Macaca fascicularis: one gene and its partners. The protein of the gene in region 3 interacts with the protein of the main gene of each other region in a pairwise test. Links are inferred from orthologs where the notes say so. Each region holds a gene or a part of one and is shown on either strand. Other genes may lie near its edges. The genes, in order: STX8, TMEM51, CREB3, SLC35H1, NKG7, AQP5 and UNC50.

The links.
Region 1: the proteins of CREB3 (region 3) and STX8 interact in a two-hybrid assay, tested with the Homo sapiens proteins (3 studies listed by BioGRID and IntAct). The two-hybrid records come from large-scale screens. The link is inferred for Macaca fascicularis from reciprocal best matches to the Homo sapiens genes CREB3 and STX8.
Region 2: the proteins of CREB3 (region 3) and TMEM51 interact in a two-hybrid assay, tested with the Homo sapiens proteins (2 studies listed by BioGRID and IntAct). The two-hybrid records come from large-scale screens. The link is inferred for Macaca fascicularis from reciprocal best matches to the Homo sapiens genes CREB3 and TMEM51.
Region 4: the proteins of CREB3 (region 3) and SLC35H1 interact in a two-hybrid assay, tested with the Homo sapiens proteins (2 studies listed by BioGRID and IntAct). The link is inferred for Macaca fascicularis from reciprocal best matches to the Homo sapiens genes CREB3 and SLC35H1.
Region 5: the proteins of CREB3 (region 3) and NKG7 interact in a two-hybrid assay, tested with the Homo sapiens proteins (2 studies listed by BioGRID and IntAct). The two-hybrid records come from large-scale screens. The link is inferred for Macaca fascicularis from reciprocal best matches to the Homo sapiens genes CREB3 and NKG7.
Region 6: the proteins of CREB3 (region 3) and AQP5 interact in a two-hybrid assay, tested with the Homo sapiens proteins (2 studies listed by BioGRID and IntAct). The two-hybrid records come from large-scale screens. The link is inferred for Macaca fascicularis from reciprocal best matches to the Homo sapiens genes CREB3 and AQP5.
Region 7: the proteins of CREB3 (region 3) and UNC50 interact in a two-hybrid assay, tested with the Homo sapiens proteins (2 studies listed by BioGRID and IntAct). The two-hybrid records come from large-scale screens. The link is inferred for Macaca fascicularis from reciprocal best matches to the Homo sapiens genes CREB3 and UNC50.

The regions. Positions count from the first base shown.
Region 1 is NC_088390.1:9,633,452-9,636,951, reverse strand, and holds part of STX8 (syntaxin-8), read left to right. Parts: intron 1-3,095; coding exon 3,096-3,206; intron 3,207-3,500. UniProt on the Homo sapiens protein: Vesicle trafficking protein that functions in the early secretory pathway, possibly by mediating retrograde transport from cis-Golgi membranes to the ER.
Region 2 is NC_088375.1:220,127,676-220,131,621, forward strand, and holds the start of TMEM51 (transmembrane protein 51), read right to left. Parts: upstream 2,801-3,946; 5' UTR 2,561-2,800; intron 2,531-2,560; exon of another isoform or gene 2,489-2,530; coding exon of another isoform or gene 2,236-2,488; intron 1,593-2,235; exon of another isoform or gene 1,401-1,592; intron 94-1,400; exon of another isoform or gene 1-93.
Region 3 is NC_088389.1:63,665,254-63,669,520, forward strand, and holds the start of CREB3 (cyclic AMP-responsive element-binding protein 3), read right to left. Parts: upstream 2,801-4,267; 5' UTR 2,601-2,800; coding exon 2,472-2,600; intron 2,379-2,471; coding exon 2,228-2,378; intron 2,157-2,227; coding exon 2,089-2,156; intron 1,975-2,088; coding exon 1,885-1,974; intron 251-1,884; coding exon 144-250; intron 54-143; coding exon 1-53. UniProt on the Homo sapiens protein: Endoplasmic reticulum (ER)-bound sequence-specific transcription factor that directly binds DNA and activates transcription. Plays a role in the unfolded protein response (UPR), promoting cell survival versus ER stress-induced apoptotic cell death.
Region 4 is NC_088384.1:102,412,422-102,416,593, forward strand, and holds the start of SLC35H1 (solute carrier family 35 member C2), read right to left. Parts: upstream 2,801-4,172; 5' UTR 2,299-2,800; intron 1-2,298.
Region 5 is NC_088393.1:59,178,279-59,181,384, reverse strand, and holds NKG7 (protein NKG7), read left to right. Parts: upstream 1-1,224; 5' UTR 1,225-1,410; coding exon 1,411-1,567; intron 1,568-1,638; coding exon 1,639-1,785; intron 1,786-1,871; coding exon 1,872-2,006; intron 2,007-2,108; coding exon 2,109-2,167; 3' UTR 2,168-2,606; downstream 2,607-3,106.
Region 6 is NC_088385.1:56,790,383-56,794,308, forward strand, and holds the start of AQP5 (aquaporin-5), read left to right. Parts: upstream 1-1,126; 5' UTR 1,127-1,272; coding exon 1,273-1,635; intron 1,636-2,740; coding exon 2,741-2,905; intron 2,906-3,356; coding exon 3,357-3,440; intron 3,441-3,926. UniProt on the Homo sapiens protein: Aquaporins form homotetrameric transmembrane channels, with each monomer independently mediating water transport across the plasma membrane along its osmotic gradient. Plays an important role in fluid secretion in salivary glands.
Region 7 is NC_088387.1:3,060,404-3,064,566, reverse strand, and holds the start of UNC50 (protein unc-50 homolog), read right to left. Parts: upstream 2,801-4,163; 5' UTR 2,700-2,800; intron 1,676-2,699; 5' UTR 1,672-1,675; coding exon 1,392-1,671; intron 657-1,391; coding exon 536-656; intron 1-535. Other genes in the region: COA5 (cytochrome c oxidase assembly factor 5), read left to right, coding at 3,020-3,118. UniProt on the Homo sapiens protein: Involved in the cell surface expression of neuronal nicotinic receptors. Binds RNA.

The DNA of each region.
Region 1 (3,500 bases), on a different chromosome or scaffold from region 3:
CACCTCAAGGTGGAGAAGTCCCCGGAATGTTTGGTGGAAAAGCCGTGAGCTAGGGTAGAAAGACCTGGGCTCTCACCTAGCATTGCTGTTAACCCATGCAAGTGACTTAGCCATGCTGGTCCTTAATTTTCTGGTCAGCAAAACAAGAGAATTGGGATTAAGGCCTCTTCTAGCATCTACTGTGTGGGTTTCCGTCCTTTGGTTACTCATCGACAAAACATCATCATCAAGTTTTACTGTTTCTGAAACTGATGTTCTTTGTTTAAATCTGTAACTAGTATCTGCTGATTTTAAAATGTACCTTTATTGTTTTTATTACAAAGCGTATTATACTTTCTACTGATACATTTCTCATTAGTTGTTCCCAGTGACTCCTCTTTCTCTTCCTTATTCTTTTCTGTCTCATCTCATTCTTCATAGTTAAGTGTTGATGGTTGGTAGCTAGTGTCTCAGGCTTTTCTAGGCTGGAAATATATGCATATGTAAATAAGAAATTCTTTTGACTATAAAGGGATTGTATTATACATATGGTTCTGAAGCTTGTGTTTTTATTGATTAGCAGATGATAGAGACAAACATTAGGAAACAATATTCAGTGAAACATCAGTCTCCCTTATACCCTTAATCCCTAGTTGTCTTTCCTTAGAGGCAATGTTTATATATCAGAAATGTTCTGTGTATATATACACACGTATACAGATACGATTTTTTTTTTTTTTTTTAACAAAGTGGGAGCATACTGTTCACTGTTTAGCTCCTTGCTGCTGCTGTTGTTTTTCCTCTTTTGGTTTAATGTTATATTTTGTAGATTACTCCATGTCAAATAATTCATGTAAACACTTAGTAAGTGCTCAGAAATGTTAATTATCATTATCAGCCCCCTAAGCAGCTTTCCTATTCTTGGTTTAAGGCTACAAAACATTCCATTGTACAGATACACTAGTTACTTACTGATATTTCCAGTGTGGCTATTATAAATAATAGTTCAGTGGACATCCTTGCTTCTAAGTCCTTGTATGACTGTATCTGCAGGAGAAATGTCTGTTGAAAGACTGTACCTTTTACATTTTGTTAGGTATTTAGAAGGCAGTTTAGCAGTTGGTTGAACCTGTTTGCATTACTATCAAGAATATATGAGGCAGCCGGGCGTGTGGTGGCTCCCGCCTGTAATCCCAGCACTTTGGGAGGCCGCGGTGGGTGGATCACTTGAGGTCAGGAGTTCGAGACCAGCCTGGACAACATGGGGAAATCCCATGTCTACTGAAAATACAAAAATTAGCTGGGCATGGTGGCGTGCGCATGTAAGCCCAGCTACTTGGGAGGCTGAGGCAGGAGAATCGCTTAAACTCCAGAGCTGGAGGTTGTGGTGAGCCAAGATCATGCCACTGCACTCCAGACTGGGTGACAGGGAGACACTGTCTCAAATAAAAAAAAAAAAAAAACGGAAAAAAGAAAAAAGGAATGTATGAGGTCAGGTGAAGTGGCTCATGCCTGTAATCCCAGCACTTTGGGAGGCTGAGGCGAGCGGATCATGAGGTCAAAAGATCGAGACCATCCTGACAAACATGGTGAAACCCCGTCTGTACTAAAAATACAAAAATTAGCTGGGCATGGTAGTGGGAGCCTGTAGTCCCAGCTACTCGGGAGGCTGAGACAGGAGAATCGCTTCAACCCTGGAGGCGGAGGTTGCAGTGAGCCGACATCACGCCACTGCACCACTCCAACCTGGAGACAGAGTGAGAATCCATCTCCAAAAAAAAAAAAAAGTAAACACTTTTGTACTTTTGTAGTTTGCATCAAGAAAGCTAGTATGTAAAACTTTGTACTTAGTCCAAGGGTAGCGGTGCCGGTTGTTGACAGACGCCACTTCCCTTTTTGCTTCATGCGCGCCTCTGCGCACGCGCCGCACTCTCGTCCACCTATTGGTGAATTGTAGGTTTCTTTGCGAAGACTACATTTCCCAGAAGGATGGTTTTTGGTTTTAACCACCACTTATGAACTGTTGTGGAAAAGATGTTAGAGATTATCTAGTGTTACATATAAAGAGAGAGAGATCCAAAAAGGTGAAATAACTGGTTCAAGAGCATAGATAATGGTAAGAATAGGGCTACAACTCTGCCTTTGGGGCTCCTGGTCTAGCATGTTTGCTAGAATCACACATTAAAATTATTCTCTTTATAATTTTCTTTACAGATCATGCAATGTATTTAAATAGTGAACTGATGGTAACAATTTATAGAGCAAATCTGGTGCATAAAGTAGCACTTTATAAATATTCTAGGTGTGTTAATAGATATTAACATGGAAGAAAGAGAACAATATAGAGAATTTCTCTCCCCCAGCGCTCCCAGTTTTTTAAACAGAGCATCTTAGGGTATTAATATGTAGGAAAACGCCCTGCAACACTGACACATATAACTCAAAACCTAAGGAATCACTGAGCCAGGTTGCACCACTGGCAGGAAAAGTCATTTAAATTTGGTCACTGGGACTGGGCATGGTGGCTCATGCCTGTAATCCCAGCACTTTGGGAGGCCAAGGCAGGCAGATCACCTGAGGTCATGAGTTCAAGACCAGCCTGGCCAACACAGCAAAACCCTGTCTCTAATAAAAATACAAAATACAAAACTTAGCTGGGTGTGGTGTTGCATGTCTGTAAGCCCAGCTGTTGGGGAGGCTGAGGCAGGAGAACTGCTTGAACCCGGGAGGCAGAGGTTGCAGTGGGCCGAGATCGCATCATTGCATTCCAGCCTGGGTGACAGAGCGAGACTCTGTCTCAAAAATAAATAGTTTGGTCACGGGGAGCAAAGTAATATTTACCTGGTATGTTTCTCAGTGAAAGAACTTGTGTCGTGATCCATATCAGTGTTTGTAAGTCCCTCTGTGATGGTCCTGCCAAGGTCCTTTACCTGATGACCTGATGAAGGTGAAAGTCAGAGTAGGAAAACCACAGGAGTGAAATGGTGAGCATCCCTTCTGGGTAGTAGTGATTACAGTCTGTAAAAGCCACAACTGACTTGAAGAGCTAACTTAATAATGTAATAGTTAACACGAGGTCATTTATTCACCATTGGACCTTAACAAGATGTCCGCAGAACACAGCTTGAAGGGGACCGAAGACAGAACCTGTTGGATGATCTTGTAACTCGGGAGAGACTACTTCTGGCATCCTTTAAGAATGAGGGTGCCGAACCAGATCTAATCAGGTAGGATGTTTTCATTTACAGGGATTACTTGGTGGGCGAAGACTTCTTTGCAAATATTACAGCTATTTCCTGAATGCCTTACTTTAGGCATTAAATCAATCAAAATCTATTCTATTCATTTATGGTGCTGGACTATAATATTCTACTCAATTTAGTTTTCGTTAATTTTCTAGGTTTAGGAAACCAGGTATGTTCAGCTGAATCCCATCTTGGGTGGAACATACTAAGGGAGACTGTGGGTGAAGTCAGAACATGTCTTTGGCATTCTTTGGTTGAATTTTCTGCTTTGTTAAC
Region 2 (3,946 bases), on a different chromosome or scaffold from region 3:
TTCCTCCCTCGGCTAGGGGCTCCCTGAGACTCCTGGGCTCTGGATCAGTGGGGCAGACCCCAGATACCCGAACAGGGAGGCAGATACCCGAACAGGGAGGCAGATACCCGAACAGGGAGCTGTCAGCTCCGAAGCCATGAGGAGCAGATTCACCAGCAGCCTCCTCTCTTTCTCTTTCTTTGGCCTTTTCTCCTAGTCTGGGGGTACCTGTCAATTGGTGGAGTGAGATATTTGAAGGGACAGGGGCTCTGTCCCAATAGGTCAGGACCCTCCTGCGACAGGTTTCCGGGGTGTGAAAGCTGTTCACGGTTCCAGGGCCAAAAGTTCCCTAGACAAGCTGTTCTCCAGGTAACCCATTCAAAAGGAAAGCCAGAAGCCGGCAGGCCCTAGAGGGGCAATCCTTCCACCCGCTGACCCACCTCCGCCGGTTCGGGTCCCGGCCCCGCCCACCTCGTCCCCGCCACACCACTCCGGCAGCGCCCGGGTTCCCAGCAGCCAGACCTCCAGCTCTGTTGGGAAGGACCTGCAGTACCACGCACCGTCACAGGCACCTCGGAACGCTGCGCAGGGCACCCCAGGGCTGATCCCTGGGGAAACCGTGGGGGGAAGGGTCAGGTCTCTCGCCCCCACCCCTGGTTGGGAAAGAGACCATTATCCTGTAATGCAGACCTGGCACGCCGGGCCAACCGCCTCCCGTTTGTGCGCTGATTTGAGATCAGATTTATGCGTAACCGAACTTACCGCGGAGTGCTTGCTGGGTGCTCGGCATGAATGCCCCGCCGCACCCTGGGACGTTATCATGTCCATTTCACAGATGAAGAAAGCGATCGATGCGCTCAGGGAAGGACTTTAAATCCACTTTGCTCACGCCAGATTCTTTACCCCCGTGTTTGCTTGTAGAGCGACACACACACACACACACACACACGCACACACACACGAATCTAAATCCCTAAAAGGACCCGACTTCCATACAGTAAGGGATGCGCGAGCAAAGCGCCAAGGTGGTTTCCTGGGACCTACTAGGAATTTCTGCTCCTAACCACGCGCTGAAAGCGCTTCTGACGAGGCCAAGGGTTCGAAGCCCGCCGGGCGGAGAGCACCTGTCCCCGCCAACAGGGGGCCCCCAAGGCCAGCTGCCTTCACCAGCCGAGGCCAGCTGGCCGGGCGCGGTGCCCGGGAGGCGGGAGTGTCCCGCACCGGCGGGGCGCGGTCGCAGAGGGTGCGGGGTGCGGAGTCCTCCAGGTGGTCGACCCCAGACGGGAAGCACTCGGCGGACGGACGGACGGACGGACGGACAGGCGACCCAGACGGGCCTCGGCCCCCTTACCCGGCCCGGAGGGGAACGCACAGCGCTCCGCGGGAAGCGGCGGGCGCAAGGCGCGGCGGCTCAGACTCACCCGGGAGGCGGCGGGTCCGGCTCCGTCTCGGCTGGGCGGCCCGGGGCTGGGGGCTTCGCGACCCCCGCGCCCCACCCGGGCGGCCTCCTCGGGGGGCGCCGCGATCGCGGGGCTGGGATTCGGAGGATTCTCAGCCGAGGGAACGCGGTGGCGGAGAGAGCGAACTGCCCTCTCGGGGACCGCGATGGGGACGCAGGAAGCGCGGCCTGGGAGCGCCGGCGTGAGGGAGGGAGGGACCGCGGGAGGAGGAGGGCGGCGCCGGCCGGGAGCAGCCTCCAGCCCCGAGAAGCACCGCCCACCGGCCGACCCTACCTCCCGGCCCTCGGCGCCACCCCCGGGCCCGAGGCGAGGGATCGCAGCTGAGCAGGGCGGGCACCCACTCCCCAGCGTCCGCCGCTGGAGTACGCTGAGTGCGGGCCGGGGGCTGGGCCTAAGTTCTTCCCCACCCTTGCCAGCCGAGTTGGATAAGATGGGGCCGGGAGAAAATAGAGCCCTGCTCCCCCATCCTCCCTAGGGCCCAGATAATCGGTGTGCATGCGTGTGTGTGTGCGCGCGTGTGTGTGACGGGTGGTGGTCGGGGAATGTCTCAAGCCAGAAGTCCCAGGTTTTAGGGATTTAAGTAGAGCTGGGAGACCCGCTTCCGTCCCACACCAGGTGCAGACGCCGAGGCACAGCTCCGCCAGCCTTTACCTGGCGAGACACTCACCTCTCCTCCTTCCTGGGGAGGCCACCGCCTCCTTCTCCCACTTCTGCCCTGGGCTGGTGCCCAGCGAGGTGAGTGATGGGCAGAAGTAGGGAAGGAGGAAGCAAGTTTTTAAAAACCGAGTCAGCTCACCCCCTCGTCCAGGGTCCCCACCTGATGCCTGGTCCCCAGGGAGCTCTCGGGCTCGCACGCCTGAGTCCCCGTCCAGGTGGGGCCCATTTCGGGTTCTTGCGCGCGGGCACTGGATGGGGGCGCGCTCCACCGGGAGCTTCCCCTGCTGAGGGCTCATCCCCAGCTTTGCCGAGAACTTTCCCGGCAAGGCACCGGCTGGCGTTCTCCCAGCCCGCGAGTGGCAGACGGGCAGCCAGTCTCTGTTCGGATCCATGGAGGCCCAGAGCTGCCGCCGAGTCCTGGCTCCGGGGAGGGCAAACCCGAAGTCTGCGCGGACGCCTCTTACCCGCGGTTCTGCCTCCGCCCCTTGGAGATTTGCCCTCGGAACCGCATTGCTCTGGCGCCCGAACTAGGGTGGGCTGGTTTCAGCCAGACCGCCAAAAAACGTGGATTCTAAACACAGAGGGAAGAGCCAGCTCCCATTCCCTCGCTCAACCTTAGATTTTTTTGAATTCCGAGAGAGGTCAGGCCGGGGTCCCCTTCTTGGGTGAGCGTCTAGCCCTTTGGAGTTCAAACACTGAGAAGCAGATAGGCAGCTGGCGGGCGTCACAGGATCGAGCCGAGGACCGAAGGCGCCTCCTACCGGGAATCCACCGCCTCCAGACGAAAATAGGCTGCAATCAAGTTCACTTCCAAAGGCGGAATTCATGGGTACATATGGTGTCCACGTGTGTATACCTGCAGAGTGGAAACATGTGGGCATTTCTCCCCCCACCCCGCTATTCTGGCTCCTTAACTTGCACCCTAACAGCTCAACAGAACCTTGGCGTCCACAAAAAGGCAAGTTTGGATCTGCCTTATGATTTGGGGGTGGGAAGACATTTGGGGAAACAGTCTCCATGTCTATAACAGCAACTGCTATTCCTCACCTACTTACTATGAACCACGCACGGGGTTACCACCGACATCCCCTGAACCATCTCATTTAATCCTCACAACCTGGGAGGTGGTTATTGGTCATGCCCACTTTATGGAAGAGAAAGCTGAGGCTGAAGGAGGTGAGGTCATTTTGCCCAATGAAAACACGGCTGGGAAGTGTCAGGATCTAGACCTAGGTTGGTCCACTCCAGAGCTTCTGCTCTCCCTCCCATAGCATAATTCATACTGTCTGCACATACTCTCCACGCTGGGAGAAGTTTCACCTTGCCTGGCCACCTGCAAATGCTGAATGAATATTTGTTGGATGAATGAAAGCCCCAAATAATAACCCATGATTTTAGTGAATGGGGAGAACCCTTTGTGTAGGCATGTACTTATAATAATACGCTCCCATTTAAGAGCTGTGTGTGTTCATCCTAAAGTTTAGACAATGCATGTGGGGACCTTCCCAGGCTCCAAAGGAGTGACAGGAAACAGTCACGTAGCTCTCAGATAAGACCAGGAATCTGGTTTTCATTTGACTCTGCAAGACGGACTTTGGAGAGGCCTGGGGTGGGGGCAGGAGGGTGATAATGTCAGAACTGCAGTCCCAGCTCCTAATCTGAAGGCAAAGAGCTGCTGTACTTTTCCATGCCAGGATCATCCCAGACCCGCCCCACTCTGCTGCAGACCCAACTGGGCAGGTCTTGTGTATCACAGGATATCATCTTCAAAGTGTTCCATTTAAGCAGGCTCACCCTGGCTGATCTGGGGAGTGGCTGACGAAATTCTCAGCCAAAGCTGAGGCCCAGGC
Region 3 (4,267 bases):
GAAGCTGTACTTTGTTCTGAAGCTCCATATTCTGGGCTGTGTATTTCAAGACCCTGGGGGAAATAACAAAGATATGGGGATATGGCCTGTGTCCTCCCTTCAAAAACCTAACACTTAAAACTGAGTCCCTCTCCCTTTCATACCTGCTCTCTAAACCCCCAACATACACCTTCTTTTTCCTGCGGCTCTCTTGAGCAGATCTTTTATTTCGAATCTTCCTCCGCACACGTTTCAGAATTTGTTCCTCCATCTGAAAGGAAACAGGGAAAGGGGTATCATTAGAGGGACTCTAGAACAAGAAGTTGAAAGGCAACTGAGATCCATCTCTTTCCAATACAGAAATCCCTTCTACAGCTTCCCTGACCAATAGGCATTCACATTCTTTCTGAATGCCTCCACGGAGCACGTGTTAACCCTAACAAGCCAGACCATTTTAAACTATTAAAAAAAAAAATTGGTCAGGCAATATTCAAGTGACATGGCTCATGCCTGTAATCCCAACACTTTGGGGAGCTAAGGCAGGAGGACCGCTTGAGCCCAGGAGTTTGAGACCAGCCTGAGCAACACAGTGAGACCTTGTCTCTACTAAAAATAAATTAGCCGGGTGTGGTGGCACATGCCTGTGGTCCCTGCTCCTCAGGAGGCTGAGGAAGGACAATCGCTTGAGCCTGAGAGGTCAAAGCTGTAGTGAGCCATGATCTCACCACTATTCTCCAACCTGGGCAGTAAAGCAAGAATCTGTCTTCAAACAAAAACTTCCTTATCCTGAACCAACAGCTGTCTCCTTATAATTTCTATACGTTGGACTTACCTAGTATCTCTGGGGCCAAATAGAATGAACCCTGTTAAGCTATTTTCAGGCATTTGACATTTCCTCAGAGAAAAAAAGTTCAAGAAAAAAACAGCTTAGACAAAAATTTTAACTCATCTTCTTAGGATAGACTGCATCTTCTTAGTATCTGTCAAAGATGTGCTCTAGCCAGTATAAAGGAAAGCAAGATAGTGACTTGTGGAGACAATAACTCTTGCTACAGTTTCCAAATCCCATTAACTTTCCTAGTAGCCACATCGCACTGCTGACTCATCTTGTACTTTGAAGGAATTAAAATTCTTTACTTTTGGAGGCCAAGGTGGGTAGATCACTTGAGCACAGGCGTTCAAGACCAGCCTGGCAACAAGGCAAAACCCCATCTCTACTAAAAACACCAAAAAAAAAATTTGCCGGGCAGGGTGGTGTGCACCTGTAGTCTCAGCTACTCAGGAGGCTGAGGTGGGAGAATCACCTAAGCCCAGAAATTCAAGGCTGCAGTGTGCCATGATCACATCACTGCACTCCAGCCTGTGCAACAGAACAAGACCTTGTCAAAAAAAAAAAAAAAAATTCCTGGAACCTTTCTATTAATGAGCACTGATTTCATCATAGTATCCCAGTACTCTGCTTGTGAAGTTGCCACTGATTGCTTAAAACTGGAAACTAAGGATTTTGCATTTATTCATGTACTGCTTAGTCCAATCGTGTTGAACTCTCTAAACAGTTCTACCATTCAGCAAGAGGTGGATTACTATGAAGCCAATGAAGTGTCAAGGCCCTTCACTTACACAGTCCTTTCCAAGGCCCAATACTAATGTTGCACTGATAATTTTGAGGGTTTTTTTTTGTTTGTTTTTTAACAGAACACCAAAATTTGTGTAAGCCCAACGAAAATGAGGATCTGCCTTGCATCTAGCATATTGGGTACCTGCCTCAACTTCCTATTAGCAATAAATCTGCTAAGTTTCTCACCTCAATCCTTTTTTAAAGTTATTGATATAAAGTTAACAGAATTGGCCTACTTGAGACTTTTAATCCCTTTTCAGCCTTTGCTCAACTAACGAGAGTCTTACCTTAGTGAGAGGAAGTGTCTCAGGCAGAATAAGCCCCTCCTTCTCCAATAGACTCTTCTCCTCATCTGTCAGTACCAGCCTAACAATATCCTAGGGTAACCAGAAAGTGGGCGGCAGTTGCATGGGGATGTCACAGAGGAATGGGGAATCCTGCCCCCACCTGAGGAATGTGAGAGTAATCTTCCTGAAAATCAAGTCAAGTACCTGCTCTGCCAGCTCCTCCATATGCTGTGGAGTCATCTGGGTCCCCTCTTTTCTACAGCTCTCACTCTCTGCAAAAGGGAACGTATGAATAGCCAGGCCCATGAACCCTGTCCTCCCCGCAAACTTATTTCAGACTCACCTAGATCCATAGAGACAGGTTCTCGTGGGAGGGAGTAGGTGTGGTCATGGTGGACAAGGCAGGGGTTGGAGTTGCTGAGAACGTTCAACGACGACGCTGGGGGACTCAGCAGGGAGCTCAGCAAATCATCTACCTCCCAGTCGCTCGGTACCTGCGCAGGGTTCCAGTGAACAGGCCTTGACCTATCACCATCCCCTGACCTCATGGACATCCCACGCTTTCCCCAGTCAGAACCCCAACGCACCTCAGAAAGCGGCAGCTCCCAGTCCAGTGGGGCCCTCACGGACTCATCGGGCGCCGTCCTCAAATCTCCACTTTCCTCTAGCAGGAAGCCCAGTAGGTCTTGGTCACCAGCGTCCAATTCCAGCTCCATTTGGGACAACTACGGAAAGGGTGGGCTACCGGGCCCCAACGTCCGAAGCCCAGACACGAGCCCCAGGCCAGCTGTAGGCCTCGGGCACCTATCCACTGTCCCTCTACGGCCGGGCTTCCCGGCCGGGGGCTTTCCGTAGCCCTCTCCGGACCCGCCTCCCAGGCTCAATTCTCCTCAGCCTCCAACGCAGCGAAAGTGACGCACCCCACCCCGTGGCACTGTGGGACTTGGAGTTCCCTCCAACTGAGAAGAGGCCTGGGTGCCGCGCCACGTCCCAGGGGCTATGCAAATGTAGGGGACGGCCCTGCTGCCGCCTCGCACCCCGAGGGCGGGGGTTCCAGGGCTCCGGCTCCGCCTTCTCCCCCAAGCTAGAAAAAGGAAGAGTTCTGGCCTGAAAGGGAACTCGGGCGTCGTCTTGGCGTTCTCTCCGGATTGCGCCGCACCCTCGCTTCCTGCCAGGGAGGGGCTGCCGGCCTTTGGCGGCCCCCGAGCATCGAGAACGCGGCCAGAGCAGCTTCCTGCCTGCCCCCCGCGACCATAGAGCGCTGCCCCAGGGCGCCGCCCGCGGGTGGGGGACGTTCCCAGGACGGAAGTGGCCGAGAGAGTGTCGAAGGGAGGGCGAGGCCGGAGCCCGAGGGCGACCCGAGAAGCGGCAGGGCAGCGGGCCGGCGGGCCGGCAGGCGGGGCGCAGAGCCGGGCAGCGCAGGTAGGCCAGACCGGGCCGGGCGGGGGCCTTAGGGTGGGGCCGCGGAGCCTGGCCCCGGGGGCGGGCGGGGCCCTGCCTCTCCTGCGTGTCCGGTTCGGGTTCTGTTAGTTGGAGAGGTCAGCGTCCAGCGCATCTCAACTTGGGCTCATCGTGAAGTAGGCCGTCTTAGGGGAGACAGGCCTCTCCTGGGGGCAGTCCTCTGCCTGGGATAGGCTTTGGGGAGCGTGAGGAGTCGGGTGGCAGCGGGGCGCAGGACGGGGACGGGCTTTGGTGTTAGCTGATAGCGGCCATGTGGGTAGGAAAGCTTTGGGTGAGTTGGGGATTAGGTGGGGTCCGTTTAGGAATCAAGGGTCGCTATAGGAGTTAAAAGCTGGGGTTAAAACTTAAGAGTTAGTAGTGTGAGTCAGGTCCGTTTTAGGTAGGTAAGGTTTAGATTAAGGTCATTATTTTGTTTGCTGGGATGGCCATCATACGTCATAATTTGAGTTCAGGGTCGGGTTAAGGGTCAACAACAGGAATCAGGTTAGAGCCTGTTTGAGGGATTAAAGAATGTTGACATGGTCGGTATTAAGGATAAACAGTGAAAGTGTGAGTTAGGAATCAAGTTACAAATGAACTTTAGGCTTAGGGGTCAACATTTAGGGTTAACATCAGGCGATTTGGTGCTAAAGGTAAAACTTAGATCAGTATCAGGGATCAGGGATTGGATATGAGTCTCTGCTGGGAAAGGGATGAATGTCCAAGCCGGTAGTGGGAATCAGGAAACAAATTAGAGGTGGGGTTAATGTTAGGAATTTGGGGCAACTTTAGGGGTTGTAATTGAGGCTAGCATAGTTGGCCTTGAGCAGATGAAATTTAAGAGGTTGGCAGTAGGTAAATGCCCTTCTTTTGTAGGGAAGTCCTTTATTCCTGTGTAGTTACAGGGGCTTCTTTTCACCCAGAGAGATAACAAACTAATTTC
Region 4 (4,172 bases), on a different chromosome or scaffold from region 3:
GTTTTGCTCTTGAAGCCCAGGCTGGAGTGCAATGGTGCAATCTCGGCTCACTGCAATCTCCGCCTCCCAGGTTCAAGACATTCTCCTGCCTCAGGCTCCCAAGCAGCTAGGATTACAGGCATGCGCCACCACGCCCAGCTAATTTTTTATATTTTTAGTACAGACGGGGTTTCTCCATGTTGGTCAGGCTGGTCTCGAACTCCCAACCTCAGGAGATCCGCCCACCTTGGCCTCCCAAAGTGCTGGGATTACAGGTGTGAGCCACCATGCCCGGTCGCATTGTTGATTTTTCAAAAATTATGTGTAGGCTGTTTTTATTAATCATATGTTTCATTTTAGGGTAATAAAAGGGACTGTTACAAAATATTTGTAATAAAAAAGAGGTTCAATGCTGACTTTCCTTCACAGACCTGGCCCAGGTCCCTTGCCTCCAAGAAGCCCCTATGGCTACCCCGCCTACAAGAAGCACGTCTCAAAGTTAACTCATTTTCTTATTGGGATTCAGAAGGTCACCTGTGCACAGACACAAAGCCAAATCTCAGCTAGAAGGGTCCTTGGAGATCATCTAGGCACTTAATGGGCATTTATTAAGCGCTCCTGTAGGCCTACCACTGGAGACACAGACATGAAACTGAAGGTCCCCACCCTTATTTTATAAGGGAAACAAGATTTAAAGGAGTAAATCCTCTTTTTGAAATCTCATTTGCTCAGGAAACAAAGTCCATATTCTGCCCCACTTTCCACAGAGAGCAGCTTAGCTGGAGGCAGCAGTCACATCAAGGTAAGGCTGGCTGGTGCATCACTGTCGCACCTGCTTCCCTCAATCTTTCTAACTGTAACTTGGGCAGCATGGTTTAGCGCTTAAGAGTGTGGGCTTTGGAGTTAGAGACTGATAATCAAATCCTGGTGTCCCTGTGACCCTAAGTTACTTGACCACTGGACTCAGTTTTTCCAACTGTAAAGTGGCATCAGGTACAGCATTAAATGCTGGCTCATGATAGAGGCTTACTCCCCTCCTGGTCCCCTTAAGAGTGAAACTTCCCCAGAAGGCCTCGCACTGCCAGCCCCACTCATGCACTCCCTGCCCTCACTTCAGCCCATCTCTACTGCTCCACTGAGTCACCACACCCTCCTCTCTGCTGCCCCTTCAAAGGCGTAGTCTCTATTCTTTTTTTTTTTTGAGATGGAGTTTCATTCTTTGTTGCCCAGGCTGGAGTGCAATGGCACGATCTCAGCTCACCACAACCTCCACCTTCCAGGTTCAAGTGATTCACCTGCCTCAGTCTCCTGAGTAGCTGGGATTACAGGCATGTGCCACCACGCCTGGCTAATTTTGTATTTTTAGTTGGAGACGGGGTTTCTCCATGTTGGTCAGGCTGGTCTTGAACTCCCGACCTCAGGTGATCCACTCACCTTGGCCTCCCAAAGTGCTGCAATTACAAGCGTGAGCCACCTCGCCCACCGGCTTAGTCTCTATTCTTATCTTACACAATGGATCACTTCCTTCTCCTAGAAAAAATCTTCTCTTAGGTGCTACGATACCACACTCTCCTGGTTTTTCTTCTGCTTTTCTGTACTCTTTCTTGGCCTTTTTTGCTGGCACCTTCTTGTCAACTCAATCTATAAAAATTGGGTGCCTAAAGCTTGGAACCTGGCTTCTCTTCTCTCTCAAATCTTACCCTATATAATCTTATCCTACCCAATCCACTTGCCAATGATTTCTAAATTCTTTACATCAGCCCTGACCTTTTCTGCATCAGACTAGTATTATCTAACTGCCTATTTGGTAGCTGCACTCCAAATATCTAAAACTTAAGATGCCCTAAAAAGATTTCATAATTATTTCTCACGCTCCCAATCTATCCCAGAGTCATTTAGTAAATGCCAGCATAATACACTCGGTTACTTAAGCCAAAACCAAAAATCTATGATGAAATCATCTTTGGCCACTTATTTCCGTCATTTCTCAAATCCTGCCCTGTCAGTTCCACCTTCAATACACTTCTTGACCCCTCTACTTCTCTTCCTCTCCATTCCCACTACCACAGTCTGCTGACTGCCACTCGTCTAGCTGGTCTCCCTGTTTCCACTTTCGCCTCTAAGGCCTGGAAACTATAAAGCAGCCAGAGAGATGGCCTAAGCACACAGAATAGACCATGCCCTAAGGCTAAGCCCAGCTCCTCAGCCTGGTCCACAAGGAAGGCCTCTGCAACCTCATTCTTCTGCCACTGGCCCCAGCACCCGCCACAGCGGCCCCCTGCCACGTGTCAAACACATCAAGCCTGCGTATTTCTTTACTTGCTGTTCTTTATGTCTTCAGTACACTTCCGCAGACCTCCGCTGGGCTGAATACTTTCCCCAATGCCCCACCCCTCCCAATCCTCGTGGCACTTCCCACCTCTGACGTTTCCTTGTTTGCTCACGTGTTTACTGCCCGCCCCAATCCCACCGCGGGAAGCAGCCTCTCAGAAGGCAGAGCCGTGTCCGATTCCGGCCTGGGTCCCGCACCCCAGCACGTCGCACGTGCTCAAGAAATACCAGATGAGCCGGCGTCGGGCAGAAGCACGGCAGGAGAGCGCTTGGAGACCCCTGCCCCCTCCACAGACGGCGAAACTAAGGCCCGGGGAGGGGCAGGGGCGTGGCGTGCCCCATGCCAACCCGCGCAGAACCCGGGCGGGGCGCCCGCTTCCCGTCTCCAGCCCCGGCCCCCCAGCCCCTGGGAGTGCGCCGGGAGGCCTGCCGCGCACACACTCACCTCGGCCTGGTGAGCTCCCGGCCGGAATCTTCCCACCGGAAGTGCGAGGCCGGATGCCACCGCCGAACCGCGGCAGGGGCGGTAACTTCCGCCGGAAGCTACCCAGGGGCTGGGCGGAGCCGGGGCGAAAAGGCAGCACGGGGGCGGGGCGGGGCAGCACAGGGGCGGGGCGTCTGCTGTGGTCCGGTTCTGAGGTGGTCGGGTCCTTCTGGGGTACAGCGCAGTTTTGTCCTCCGCGGAGTCTCTCAGGCTCAGAGCACAGCAGTGTGATTGCGTCTCTCCTGCGCTCAATCAGGGGCTTGCTTTGGAACCCTGGTACCTGCTAGTGTTCTGCATACAGTGGGCATCCAAAAAATGGTCACTTGTTTACTTTTACTGAACAAATTGTTTTTCTTATGTCCAGTCTAGTGCTAGGCAACCATGGAATGAACCACGAAGATAAGTATCTCATGGGCTTTTTCTTCTGGGAGCTCAGGCCGGCTGGGGCCGTTACAACTTAAAACTTAGGCGATCCAGAAGTAATACGAAACATTTGTGAAATATTTTCTGTATGAAACTTTCTAAGAATTATCTCAACTTCAATAGGTTGAGTAGGGGGAGAGCATCCCAGAAAGAGGAAATGGCAGAATCCTAAAAGAGGGTGAGAAGCCTCCAGCCGTGCCTGGGGCTCAGGTTGTTTATAACTGTGGTGGTTAAAGTAGTCAAGAGGCAGGTTGCAGTGGCCCCAAAATGCCAGCCTAGGGCGTTCATATTTTCTTCATCTTGCGGGATGGATTAAAAGGGCAGCATTTACAGTCAAGGAGAACATTGGGCCAGGGCAAGCTAGGGTTGCACATTCAGACCCAGTTTTGTGCCTTTTGCCCTCCTCTAGCCGCCTCCTGGGCTCTCCGGCAGTAAGACCAGCTGCAAACATGGCTCCTTACAAGTGACTCAGCTGGGATCCCTGGCCTCTCTGAACAGAAGGCTCAAGGCCAGAGTGTAAGTGTTTTGTGCAAACTGCTGCTGTCACCGCCGCCAGCTGGCATCATGCAGGCATAGTTCATTCAGTGCTTACCAAGCACCTACAATGGTACCCATCACTGCCCAAGGTCTTGGCTTTATTCAGTCCTCAAGGCTTGTATTGCATACACTTTCTATGCCTTTTGAAATAGCTTGTCCTCACACCCTTCTCTCTTAGGGGCAAGAGAAAGTATCCATTTTCATCACCACCCTCATTCAAGTCTCCCAGCTACCAAGGCCAAGGTTTGCAGCAACAGCCTAAAACACCAGCTGGAAGGCTGGGCACTAAGCACAGGCAACACACAGGGTAAAGGGCATGTCTTCTTTGTAAGGCACAAGTACTCGAGCTGTTCCCTGGCTGTGTCCCTGGCAGGGAGAAGAGGGAGGATGTGTTCATGGGGGTGTACAGTATGCCTTA
Region 5 (3,106 bases), on a different chromosome or scaffold from region 3:
TAACAAAAGCTGCCTGAGACTTGGTAATTTATAAAGGAAAGAGGTTTATTTGATTCACAGTTCAACATGGCTAGGGAGGCCTCAGGAAACTTACAATCAAGGCAGAAGGCGAAGGGAAAGCAAGGTACCGTCTTCACAGGGTGGCAGGAAGAAGTGCCAAGCGAAGGCAGGAAGAACCCCTTAAAAAACCACCATATCTTGTGAAACCTCACTATCACAAGAACAGCAGGGGGGAACCCGCCCCATGATTCAATTACCTCCACCTGGTCTCTACCTAGACATGTGGGGATTATGGGGATACAATTCAAGATGAGATTTGGGTAGGGACACAAAGCCTAACCATATCACCCTGTTTCACAGAGGCCAAGTTTTCCTGGGTCTTCTACGTGGGCTGTGGTACCTTCACCTTACACCTGCTCACGAGTGAGGTGTTGCCAGGACCTGATGTTGGTGTGGATGGAAGAGGCTAACGTTTCAGGGGCTGGAGAACCCTCGACCGAAATCCTTATGTCTCCCAACACCCCCTAGGCCTCCTGATCCTGGTGACAAAGGCCACCAGGCTGGAGCCCCCACCAAAGCAGAGATGCCACTGAACTCATTATATCAGATGAGGATGTGGGTATGTCTGCCTCTCTGCAAACCTTTCAGAATTGTGATTCTCTGCTGTTTACCTGCCCTCGGCATATGCTCCAAACTGCGGCCCAGGATTCTGAGCTCCCACCCGCCCCTTCCTCCCTCGGGACCTGGAGTTCAGGACCCCAGCTCCTTCCTCCTTAAGCCCCAGGAGTTCTAACTCCCAAGCCCCCTCCTTTAGTAGAGACCCTAGACTTGGGGCCTTCCTCTTCCAAAATGGAAGACTGCAGAACCCACAGGAAAGCATGACACATCGCCAACTGTCCCCTCCAGCCACATCTCCCCTCCCACTTAACGCATACCCCAGCCCGATTGGCTTCCTCCCACCTCAGGGCCCCCAAGCCTCTCTCTCTCTCACCTCTTCCAGGAAGCCCCAACTTGGTGTTGAAGGTTCCAGGGGTGGGAGCTGTAGAACCTGTGACAGAGGCAAGTTCTAAACCACCACCCAAACCACTGATGATCTGACACCCTCAGTGCCCTCCCCCACCACACACTAAGCGGGGAACCGGACCCCGGGGAGGGGAGGGAGGACGTTGCCTGTGCAATCCAGGAAGGGAGGGTATGTGAAAAGCCAGTTACCGGGAACTGTGTGAAACCAAACCAGCCTCATCTGACAAAGCACACGAACCCTCACTGCCCCGACTGCTTGCTGGTCTCTCTTTGTTGAGCTCCAAGGACCCAGGAGTCTGGGTGCACAGCCTCCTTCCCTCTGAGATTCAACAGTCTGATCAGCAGCCTCTTCCTCCTCCAGGACCCAGAAGCCCCGTGCTCACCCCCATGGAGCCCTGCCGGTCCCTGGCCCTGCTTGTGGGCTTCCTGGGCCTGATGTTCTGCCTGATTGCTTTGAGCACCGATTTCTGGTTTGAGGCTGTGGGTCCCAACGACTCAGCTCACTCGGGCCTCTGGCCAACGGGGCATGGGGACATCATAGCAGGTAAGGGGAATGGGTGTCCTGCGGAGGGGTTGCCAGTGGGGATGGGTGTTCAGTGGTCTTCTCTCGATCAGGCTACATTCATGTGACGCAGAGCTTCAGCATTCTGGCTGTCCTGTGGGGCCTGGTGTGCGTGAGCTTCCTGGTCCTGTCCTGCATCCCCTCACTGTCCACCCCAGGCCACGGCCCCCTTGTCTCAACCATCACAGCCTTTGCTGCAGGTAAGGACTCTGGACTGGACTGGGGCATCGGGAGTCAGTGAATTCCTGCCGAAGGGTTGAGCTATCTCTCTTGTCCTTGCCCCCAGCCCTCTCCATGGCAGTGGCCATGGCGGTGTACACCAGCGAGCGGTGGGACGAGCCTCCACACCCCCAGATCCAGGCCTCCTTCTCCTGGTCCTTCTACCTGGGCTGGCTCTCAGCTATCCTCTTGCTCTGCACAGGTGACTATCCTGTCCACTGCCCTGGGGAGCTTGGGAGGGCCAATAGGGGGCCCTGAGGATGAAGGGCAGGGGCAAGTGCTTAAACTCTTTCTGGCCTCCCAGGTGCCCTGAGCCTGGGTGCTCACTGCGGCAGCCCCCGGCCTGGCTATGAAACCTTGTGAGCAGAAGGCAAGAGCGGCAAGATGAGTTTTGAGCGTTGTGTTCCAAAGGCCTCATCTGGAGCCTCCGGAAAGTCTGGTCCTACATCCGCCCCACCCTTTCAGCCCTTCCCCAGCCCCTCCGCTTGTTTCTTCATTCATTCAACAAAATTTGGCTGGAATCTGGCTATTCTGAGATTAATTCTGCCAAGACCTAAGCCAACCGTCTGCCAGCTCCATGGTAGGAGCTGAGCACCAAGAGAAGGTGACAGCCCACGAGGCCGACCAGCCTGCAGGGCGCTCCTGCCCAGCACAACTGCCTGGCCTGTGTGGATACAGGCTCCAACCTGGGTCTATCTCTCCCCTTCTCCAGCACTTTTCTTTCTCCCTTTAGCTGGCTCTCTTTCCTTCTCTTTCCCTCTCTGATTTTGTACCCCTTGCCAAAACTCAGCCCTTCTTTGCACGCAGTCTCTCTCAGTTCTTTTTGCACATTTCCCCATGCTGGGGACACTAGCACGGGTCAGACCCAGGACCTGCCTGCCAGGGCCTCAGTCTGTGGGGTGGTGGGGAGGAGGCACTTACAGACCAGAAGCAGTTAATACAGGCCAGACAGCAGTCCCAGTGCAGGGAGAACACCAGAAAAAGACTAACCATATTGTGGAGGGATGGAGATGACTTTTCTGGAGAGAGAATGTTTAGGGGCTTCTTAAGGGCCAAGGAAAGGTAATATCCAGGCAGAGGGGCCTGAAGATGAACGTGCAGAAAAGTCAGGAGTCTTGTGGGAATGAAGAACGGTAATGTATGGCCAGGATATAGAATGTTGGGGGCAGGAGATGGAAAATGAAAAGGGAGAGGCAGGTGGGGGTTATGGCCTCTAATGTCATGCTGGATTTTCTCTTGAGCATGATGGGAAGTTGGGAAAAAATTGGAGGCAGAGGAGGGACAATATCAGCTCTGGGTACC
Region 6 (3,926 bases), on a different chromosome or scaffold from region 3:
TGAGAAAGAGACCTACGGAGAGAGACCGGAAGAGGCTGGCAGAGGTAGAGGAACAGAGACTAAAGACAGAGACAAAAAGAGAAACAGGATTTTGCAAAGACTGACTGGCAGAAACAGATTTCGAGGGGAGAGAGACCAACACCAAGTGAGGGTTTGAAGGAGACCGAGGGGAGGTGGAGGAAGAGAAGGAGAGTCTTAGATCCGGGGTGAGGGGCTTCTAGCAGGAAGAGGGGAGACGCCAAGACCGCGCTTGGGAGGTCAGTGGTGCGCCTCTACCCTCCCTGCTCTCCCACTCCCATAGTCTCAAGGCCTCGCCTCACACCCCCCTCCCGTCAAGACGACAAGGGGAACCCGGCCTGGGAGAGGGCGCCTCCAGGGGTCCATTGCCTAGTGTAGGTACTGCCCAGCTACCGGGCGTCGAGGATTGCAAAGCATCGGGGCAGGCTGGCACGGTGCCCACTTTTCCCAAAACGCCAGCCTTCCAAGCCCAGAAGCTCGCCCGGCCCAGGCCGGGAGCGGCCCACGACGGCCGGCCGGACCGCCCTGCAGGACCCAGCCCGGCCGCCCGCCCCCGCCGCCGGCAGTGAGGGAGGTGAGCGGCGCCGACCTGCGGGACGAGCATCACTCCGACCCAGCCGGGGGTAAGGCGGGTCAGGATGCTCCGGTCGCAGGAGGAAAAGGAGGAGCTGGACCAAAAGCCCGAAGAGAAGAAAAGGGGAAACCCGCGCGCGGAGCGCGGTAAAGGCCGGCGGAGCTAGACGCCCTGAGGTAGGAGCTAAGCGCCGGGACCGAGCCCCGTCTCCCAGGGAGTCCGGAGCGCACGGCACCGAGGAGCGCGGGAGCCAACCTGGGCGCATCATGCGCGGGGTCCGGGACACGGGGCCCGTCTACACCGCCGCCTGGGTCACGTGGCCCGGACGGGCAGGCGGCTGCCCGGCCCGGGGGGCGGGGGTCGCGCCGAGGTTGCGCTGGGCGGCGGGGAGCGGCGGGCCCGCGGCTGCCGGGAGCCTCCCAACCCGTGCGCAGCGCTGGCCCCTGAGCGTGGGAGCCGCCCCCTCCCCCCCCGCGCCGGCCCCGCGCCCGGCCCCCCGCCCCCTATATAGCGCGCCCCAGCAGGGCCCGCGCCAGGCCGCCAGCCTCGCAGTGGGTGCGGGACAGAGCGCGGCGCCACCCAGCCAGGCCCCCGTCCCCGCCGCCTCCACCTCGTCAGCCGCCTGCGACCCAACGGGCGCCCCCCGCCGCGGCCGCCGCCGCCGGGCCCCCGCGGCCACCATGAAGAAGGAGGTGTGCTCCGTGGCCTTCCTCAAGGCTGTGTTCGCCGAGTTCTTGGCCACCCTCATCTTCGTCTTCTTCGGCCTGGGCTCGGCCCTCAAGTGGCCGTCGGCGCTGCCCACCATCCTGCAGATCGCGCTGGCCTTTGGCCTGGCCATAGGCACGCTGGCCCAGGCCCTGGGACCCGTGAGCGGCGGCCACATCAACCCTGCCATCACCCTGGCCCTCTTGGTGGGCAACCAGATCTCGCTGCTCCGGGCTTTCTTCTACGTGGCGGCCCAGCTGGTGGGCGCCATTGCCGGGGCCGGCATTCTCTACGGTGTGGCACCGCTCAATGCCCGGGGCAATCTGGCCATCAACGCGGTGAGTGCCCTGGGGGGATGGGAGTCGCGACCCTGAGGTGGGCTCAGGACCAGGCCTCTTACCTCACCTGGAAAAAGGGGTGTCATAGAGTGGTCCAGCCCACACCCTTCACCAGGAAGGCAAGAGCCTCCAGAGGCCAGGAAGGCGACTCTCCAGGCTGATGTGCGCCCCCTTCCTGCCCACCTCCTCTGCCCCCCACCACATGCTGGCCCACCCTGGTCTCTCTCCAATGCCTGCTGCCCCTCCTTTCCTGCCAGAAACTTCTGCCGCCTCCTGTCTCACCTTTGAGCCCCACCTTCCTCCTGGGCCCCTCACCTCTCCCATCTCCTCAGGGGAGCGTTTGAGTAGAACCACCAGAGAGAAGCGGGCTGTCATCCCGGCTTTGGGTGACCCTGGCCTGTCTGTGCTTCATTGTTCTCAGCCCCTCCATGGGGATGGTAGTGCCTGCCACAGCAGGTGTCAAGGGGCTCACATTTAGAAACCACAGATAGGAACCCCCTAACGTGGTGCCAGTGCAGAGCAGTCTCCGTTGAGTATTGGTTTCCGCTTTCCCCAACCTGTGCTCCTCCCCGCAACCCCACATCCCTGCCTCCCTCCCATCTCCTGCAGCCCCAGAGTCAGCCCCCAACCCCATGCAAACTGGGTTCATTAATCAAACACAGAGAAGGATTTGCTTGGCCATTGTCAAGCCGTGAGTCAGCCGCACTGGAGAGACGGGTTTAAGGTTGGCACTGGCATGGGGCCAGACACGGGCAGGAGGCGGGGATGGGGTGTGAAGCAGGCAAACCGGGCAGCTGCCCACAGGATGGAGGGTAAATGCCAGCTTATGGGGGCTGGGGGTTGGGCAGAGCCATTGATAGGACCATGTCCAGGAAAAGCTCCCCTGAAACTCTGCCCTTTGGCTACAGGCCTGAGCTTCAAGCCTGTGCAAACTGTGAAATGTAGTGTCTTTAACAAATGATTTCGCTGGGGTGATGTCCACGGGGCTTGGCTTCCAGGTGTCAAGCTGCTCTAAGTGTCCCTGAATGCCAAAAGCCCTGCTCCCAGAGCCCCTGGCTATACTGCCAGAAGGTGGCCAGGCTCCTAACCCGCCATCCCCTTGCAGCTCAACAACAACACAACGCAGGGCCAGGCCATGGTGGTGGAGCTGATTCTGACCTTCCAGCTGGCACTCTGCATCTTCGCCTCCACTGACTCCCGTCGCACCAGCCCTGTGGGCTCCCCAGCCCTGTCCATTGGCCTGTCTGTCACCCTGGGCCACCTTGTCGGGGTGAGCAGTACTGACACTGGGCTGTGGTGAGGGTGGGGCAGGCACTCAAGGCAAATAATGGAGCCCCAGAGCGGAGCCCACTTCAGATTGATGAGTCCAGCAGAGTTTAAGACCTGGATTTAGGGCTGCTGGACTCTGGCCCTACTGGGCCCCAGAATTGATCCCCCCAGAACCTCTGGGCTGAGGAAAGATGGGAGTAAGTAGGAGGTGGGATGGGACAGGAATCAAACCCAACCTCAGAGCAGAGAAGAGAAGAGGGCAGCGTTAAGGGTCCATGGTTAACCGGGCAGCTGGGATCCTTGGAGGGAGGGGTTGCCAGCCCAGCAATCAGGAGACCTGAGTTTGAGACCTGGCTGAGCCCCTGGACTGCAGTGTAACCTTGGGAGAGTCCAGGTTCTGTGGGAGTGGACTGGGATGTTGCCTTTCTCTCCACCGCCCTGTCTCTATCCAGATCTACTTCACTGGCTGCTCCATGAACCCAGCACGTTCTTTTGGCCCTGCAGTGGTCATGAATCGGTTCAGCCCCGCTCACTGGGTGAGTCTGTCCCCTCCCCTGGCTCCCTGGAGATGAGGGCCTGGAGACCCAGCAGTGGCAGCTCAGAGCTCACCACAGAATCTTCTGGATTCTGTGGGCCCAGAGCTTGGGGGTGGGCCAGGGAGCGGTGGCTGAGAGAGAAAGGGGATGGGATTCAGCCACAGGGGCAGAGATGGCTTTGTATGGCCTGAACCCCTGGGGACAGGGAGTATAAGTATCTGTCCCCTTAGGGAAGAGGCTGGAGGTGCAGGGGGGCTCTGTGTCAATTCCTTTGAGGATTTGGTGTCTGTCGCTCTGGGTGTCTGTGTGCTGGTCCTCTCTGATGTTTTATTTATCTGTCCCTGTTGAGGGGGTTGGGAGAGTCTTCCTGTGGGTCTGTCCCTGTGGACAGTCTGTCTGCCCCCTCCTTTGAGAGCTCATGGTCACTCTCTCCAGGGTCTGTTTCTATCCCTATGTGGAGGGGAGAGGTGCTCTGTTCATCTCTCC
Region 7 (4,163 bases), on a different chromosome or scaffold from region 3:
TTAGTAGAGACGGGGTTTCACTGTGTTAGCCAGGATGGTTTCGATCTCCTGACCTCGTGATTCGCCCGTCTCGGCCTCCCAAAGTGCTGGGATTACAGGCTTGAGCCACCGTGCCCGGCTAACAATGTACTTCTTACACATGGTGACTGATATCTCAAGTCTCCTTAAAATGTGTAAGAGCAAGCTGTGCCCCGACCACCTTGGGCACATGTCCTCAGGACCTCCTGAGGCTGTGTCACCGGCGTGTCCTTAAACTTGGCAAACTAAACTTTCTAAATTGAGACCTATCTCAGATATTTTGGGTTCAAAACATAATTATTTCAATTATTTGCTATATTTGACAATATAAACCAGTCTTTATTTTCTGATCTAGGTGGCAACACAGGAGGGCAAATTGTAATAATCTTGGCAGTCAAAATCGATCATTCAGTGACTCTACCTTGGTTTCAATTTCCATCTGCTGCCATTGTAGCTCTGAAGCAAACAAATGGAGATGCTACAACAGTATCTGAAAAACCAAAGTTATGGTACTTACCACATTAAAGTTGCTATCAGAAGACCAACGCCTACACAATCTATGAATACAACCCAAAGGAGAAGCTTTATTGTCTCAAAGAATCCCATGTCCAGCACAAAGCCAAATCCTATAGTGGACACTGAAAGAAAGATTCACAAGATTCATTTAGGGACTCGGCTAGGTTCTGGAAATACAGAACACATCCCTTGCCCTCCAGATGCCCAGGCTAGTGGGAGAGACAGGTCTGTACACAAAACTCCCAAGATGTGTGAACACCACCTTGGAACAAAGCGTGGCCACTGAGAGAGTTGGAAGTTTCCTGAGGTGGGCCCCTGCCAGGCTGATTCACCACGGTGGCCTCAGTATTTAGAACGCCAGTCTAGAGAAGGCACTAACATACCTTAAGTCCAGTTAAGGTGCAAAACACCCTGTAAACTTCAATATCTTACCCACCTCAACACCCTACAGGTAAATGAGACCCTTGCATTATGGAATTGGAGAACTTCAGTTTCTCAGGTTCACATCAATACTTTTACAATTCTCACTCTGGATTTGCCTGACTGAAATGCAATTTCCAGTTTCATATTCCTTTTCACAGTCAGCTGCATACTGGTTCACAGTAGTTGAAAAGATATGGAGTGAATTTCGTCCCCTGCTTTTCAATGTCCTAGGGTAACAGTTTACTCTGGTATCTGCTTGGGACCTGTAGAACCAAGACTACGACTTTCTTTCCTGTGAGATTTTTGAGGCTTCAGTAAAAAGGAGAAATAGTTTCCAATATTTCCAGATTCTGACCCACAACACATTTATAACAAATAAAAAGTCTAATCAGAAACGCTAAGCGTTCAATTCTGTCTCAGACACACACACTTACCACAGAGCCAGACACTTAACAGGACCAAGAAAGCAGGGTCATCTCTGGCCCACTGGTCCTTCGTCTGTTTTCGATAATGAAAATTTCTGTAAACTCTCTGTGGGGATGTGAACAGGTAGAGCATCTGCCAGGCAGCAAATTCAAAGTCCATCTGCCGAAAGCGGAAAAGCCTTCTCAGATATTTGTAGCGTTTCGCTCCGGCTGTGTGTCTTGCTGCATCCCTGGAATTCAAGACTCCGTTCCCCTGCACTGAGGAATTCACTGAAGTACTCGGTAACATCTTCCTAGATGGAAGAAAAACATTTCTTTTACACGTATGCTGAAGAAACTTTTGGCTACGGGCACCCCTCTTCTGAGTTACTTGGCAGGGAGGTCACTTTCCATGTTCTTCCCAACCCTAGAGAAAGGCCAGGAGTCAAAAGCAAATGCAGTTGGTTCTGAGGCGGGGCTTGGGGCTTGGGAACCGCAGCCTGCAACCTCAGGCAAGGGCAACAGCTCACCCTTCTCAATCACTTAATAACACATATCCAGGGGCAGCTACCATCACAGAGACGGGGATGATGTGACAGCCCCATGACTCCAAGAAGAGTGATAGAGCCAAGATTCCAAATCTGACTCGAAATTCCGTGCTCTTAACCACCAAGCTTTTAAGAAAATAACTAAGAAAGCAATGTTTCAGCCGGTTAGAACAGTGTTACCGAAAAGGTAAAACAAATGGCCTATTCACATAGATCCATCAGCGCACTGCCAGCAAGCTCCTCGGTCACTAGAATGAGATTAAAAACCAAGCAAAACTCCGATCCCTAGTGTTTTACATCCGGAATAGGTCACCAGAGGGAGCGGTAGCGTCGGAGTCCAGTCCAACCGGTCCGAGCTCCGGGGAGCGCCGGCCACTGCCCGGCTGCCCGTCTCCCCTGCACTTCGCAGGCCCCCGGGACGCCGGCAGCGCCTGACCGGGCCCAGCTGCTCCCTCCCTGCCCGGGGCCGCGGATACGGCCGCCAGGTTTAGCAAATAAAAACAGAATGCCCAGCTCCGTGTGGAGTTCAGACAGGCCACGAATAAGGTTTTAGTACGCCTACATCCCACGCAACATTTCGGACATGCTAATACTAAATGCTCTTTATCTATGATGCAAAGGTAACTGGGCGTCCTTTCATTTTATCCGCAACTCTATCGCCGGCCGCGGGGCCGGACGCCGACATGGTCACTGTCAGGCCGCAGTGATATCAGGTCGCAAGCTGTCGGGATTAAATGGCCCCCGGCGCGAACCCGGGCTGCGGGAGGACAGAGCGGTCCTCAGGCCTCACCTGGAATCCTGCTACAGCCTCGAACCGCGTCCGAACCAGCTCACCACCTCCTCCCAGCAGCCGAGCCCAGCCGCCACAGGGCGGGCTTCCCTTCCCGCAACGTAGCCGGCGCTTCCGGCGCGCCCCGTCACGCGCACCCACTTCCGTCGCGCACGCGCCACCTCTCGGCCCTGTAGTCCTCGGCCCGACAGCCGCGGCCCGCCGGAAGTTATTGCCGCTGGCTTCCGGCCCGCTGAGACTGGGGCCTCGCTTGCTCCCGATCCGGTCGCCACCGTTGCAGTGGAAGAAAGTAGAGTCCGCAGCGGACGGGAAGCGCCGTCATGCCCAAGTATTACGAGGACAAGCTGGAGAGCGGCGCGTGCGGAGGCCTGAAGGAGGACCTGGGCGAGTGTCTGCTGCAGTCGGACTGTGTGGTCCAGGTAGCGCGGCCGGGCGCTCCCGGTGGTGACGACGCCTGCCCCGGGGAGGCCCGGCTCGGCGGAGGGCAGCGGGTCGCCCGCGGCGGCGGTTGGAGTTAACCATCCCGGGCGGAGGTCACAGCTTGGGCTCACTGAACGTGCGCAGATCCGCTGAGCTAGTTCCCCGTGGGGTTAAATCGGAGATAACGATAAACCCACCCTGTCGGGTTTTTGCAAAGATTAACCCATTTCAGTTCACGAAGCGTGTATTGCATGCTAGCACTCTGCCGGGTTCTGGAGACATAAAGGAGAATAAGCCGGGTTTCTTGCCTGCCTAGAAATGATGATCTGCAGAATTAATGATTCCAGAGAGTTGTGTAAACCTGGTACACTGCCCTGGCCAGTCGTGTCCCCTGCCCGTTCAGTTGTGACTGAATGTGTGCTCAGTTTGCCTTGTGTTGATATGAATTTGTTTCTGAGTTACAGTTCTCTGCATTCTTGGATGTTAAGTTGTAAAAATAAAGCAACTCCATGTTTTCACGATTTGGTATCTTGCTTCCCCTACGCTCTTACTTTACTCCCCTACTACAGACACAGGTCTCCTCAGCACCCTCTCGGAATGCACTGAGGCATGTAGTGAGGTTCAGAGTGGACCTGGGTTCTGGTTTTAGAGCTCAAATAAACCACAAGTGCCTTTTCCAGTTACAGAGGCCCGACCAGAGGGCATTCAATTGTGTGCGGTTATCTTTGCATTGGGAGATGTAGTTCCAGAAAGTTGCTGTTATTTCAGAGAAAAGATTACCCCCAAATGGACATCCACTATAGGGCCGTATTAGTGTTTCTGCCGAGTCACAATTTTATGTTTGGTTCACTGATTTTAGCAGTCGGCCATTCTCGCCTCCCAAGGTCTAGTAAAACTTGAGTTATTATAAATTTAAGAGATTATCTCGCCCAACTTCCTTATATAAATGAGGAAACTGAGGTACCGCTGTTTTCAGGCTCCCCTGTCCGGGGCTGTGTCCCCTCTGCCCCGTATTCACTGGTGCTGCCATTCAGCCAGCTCCTG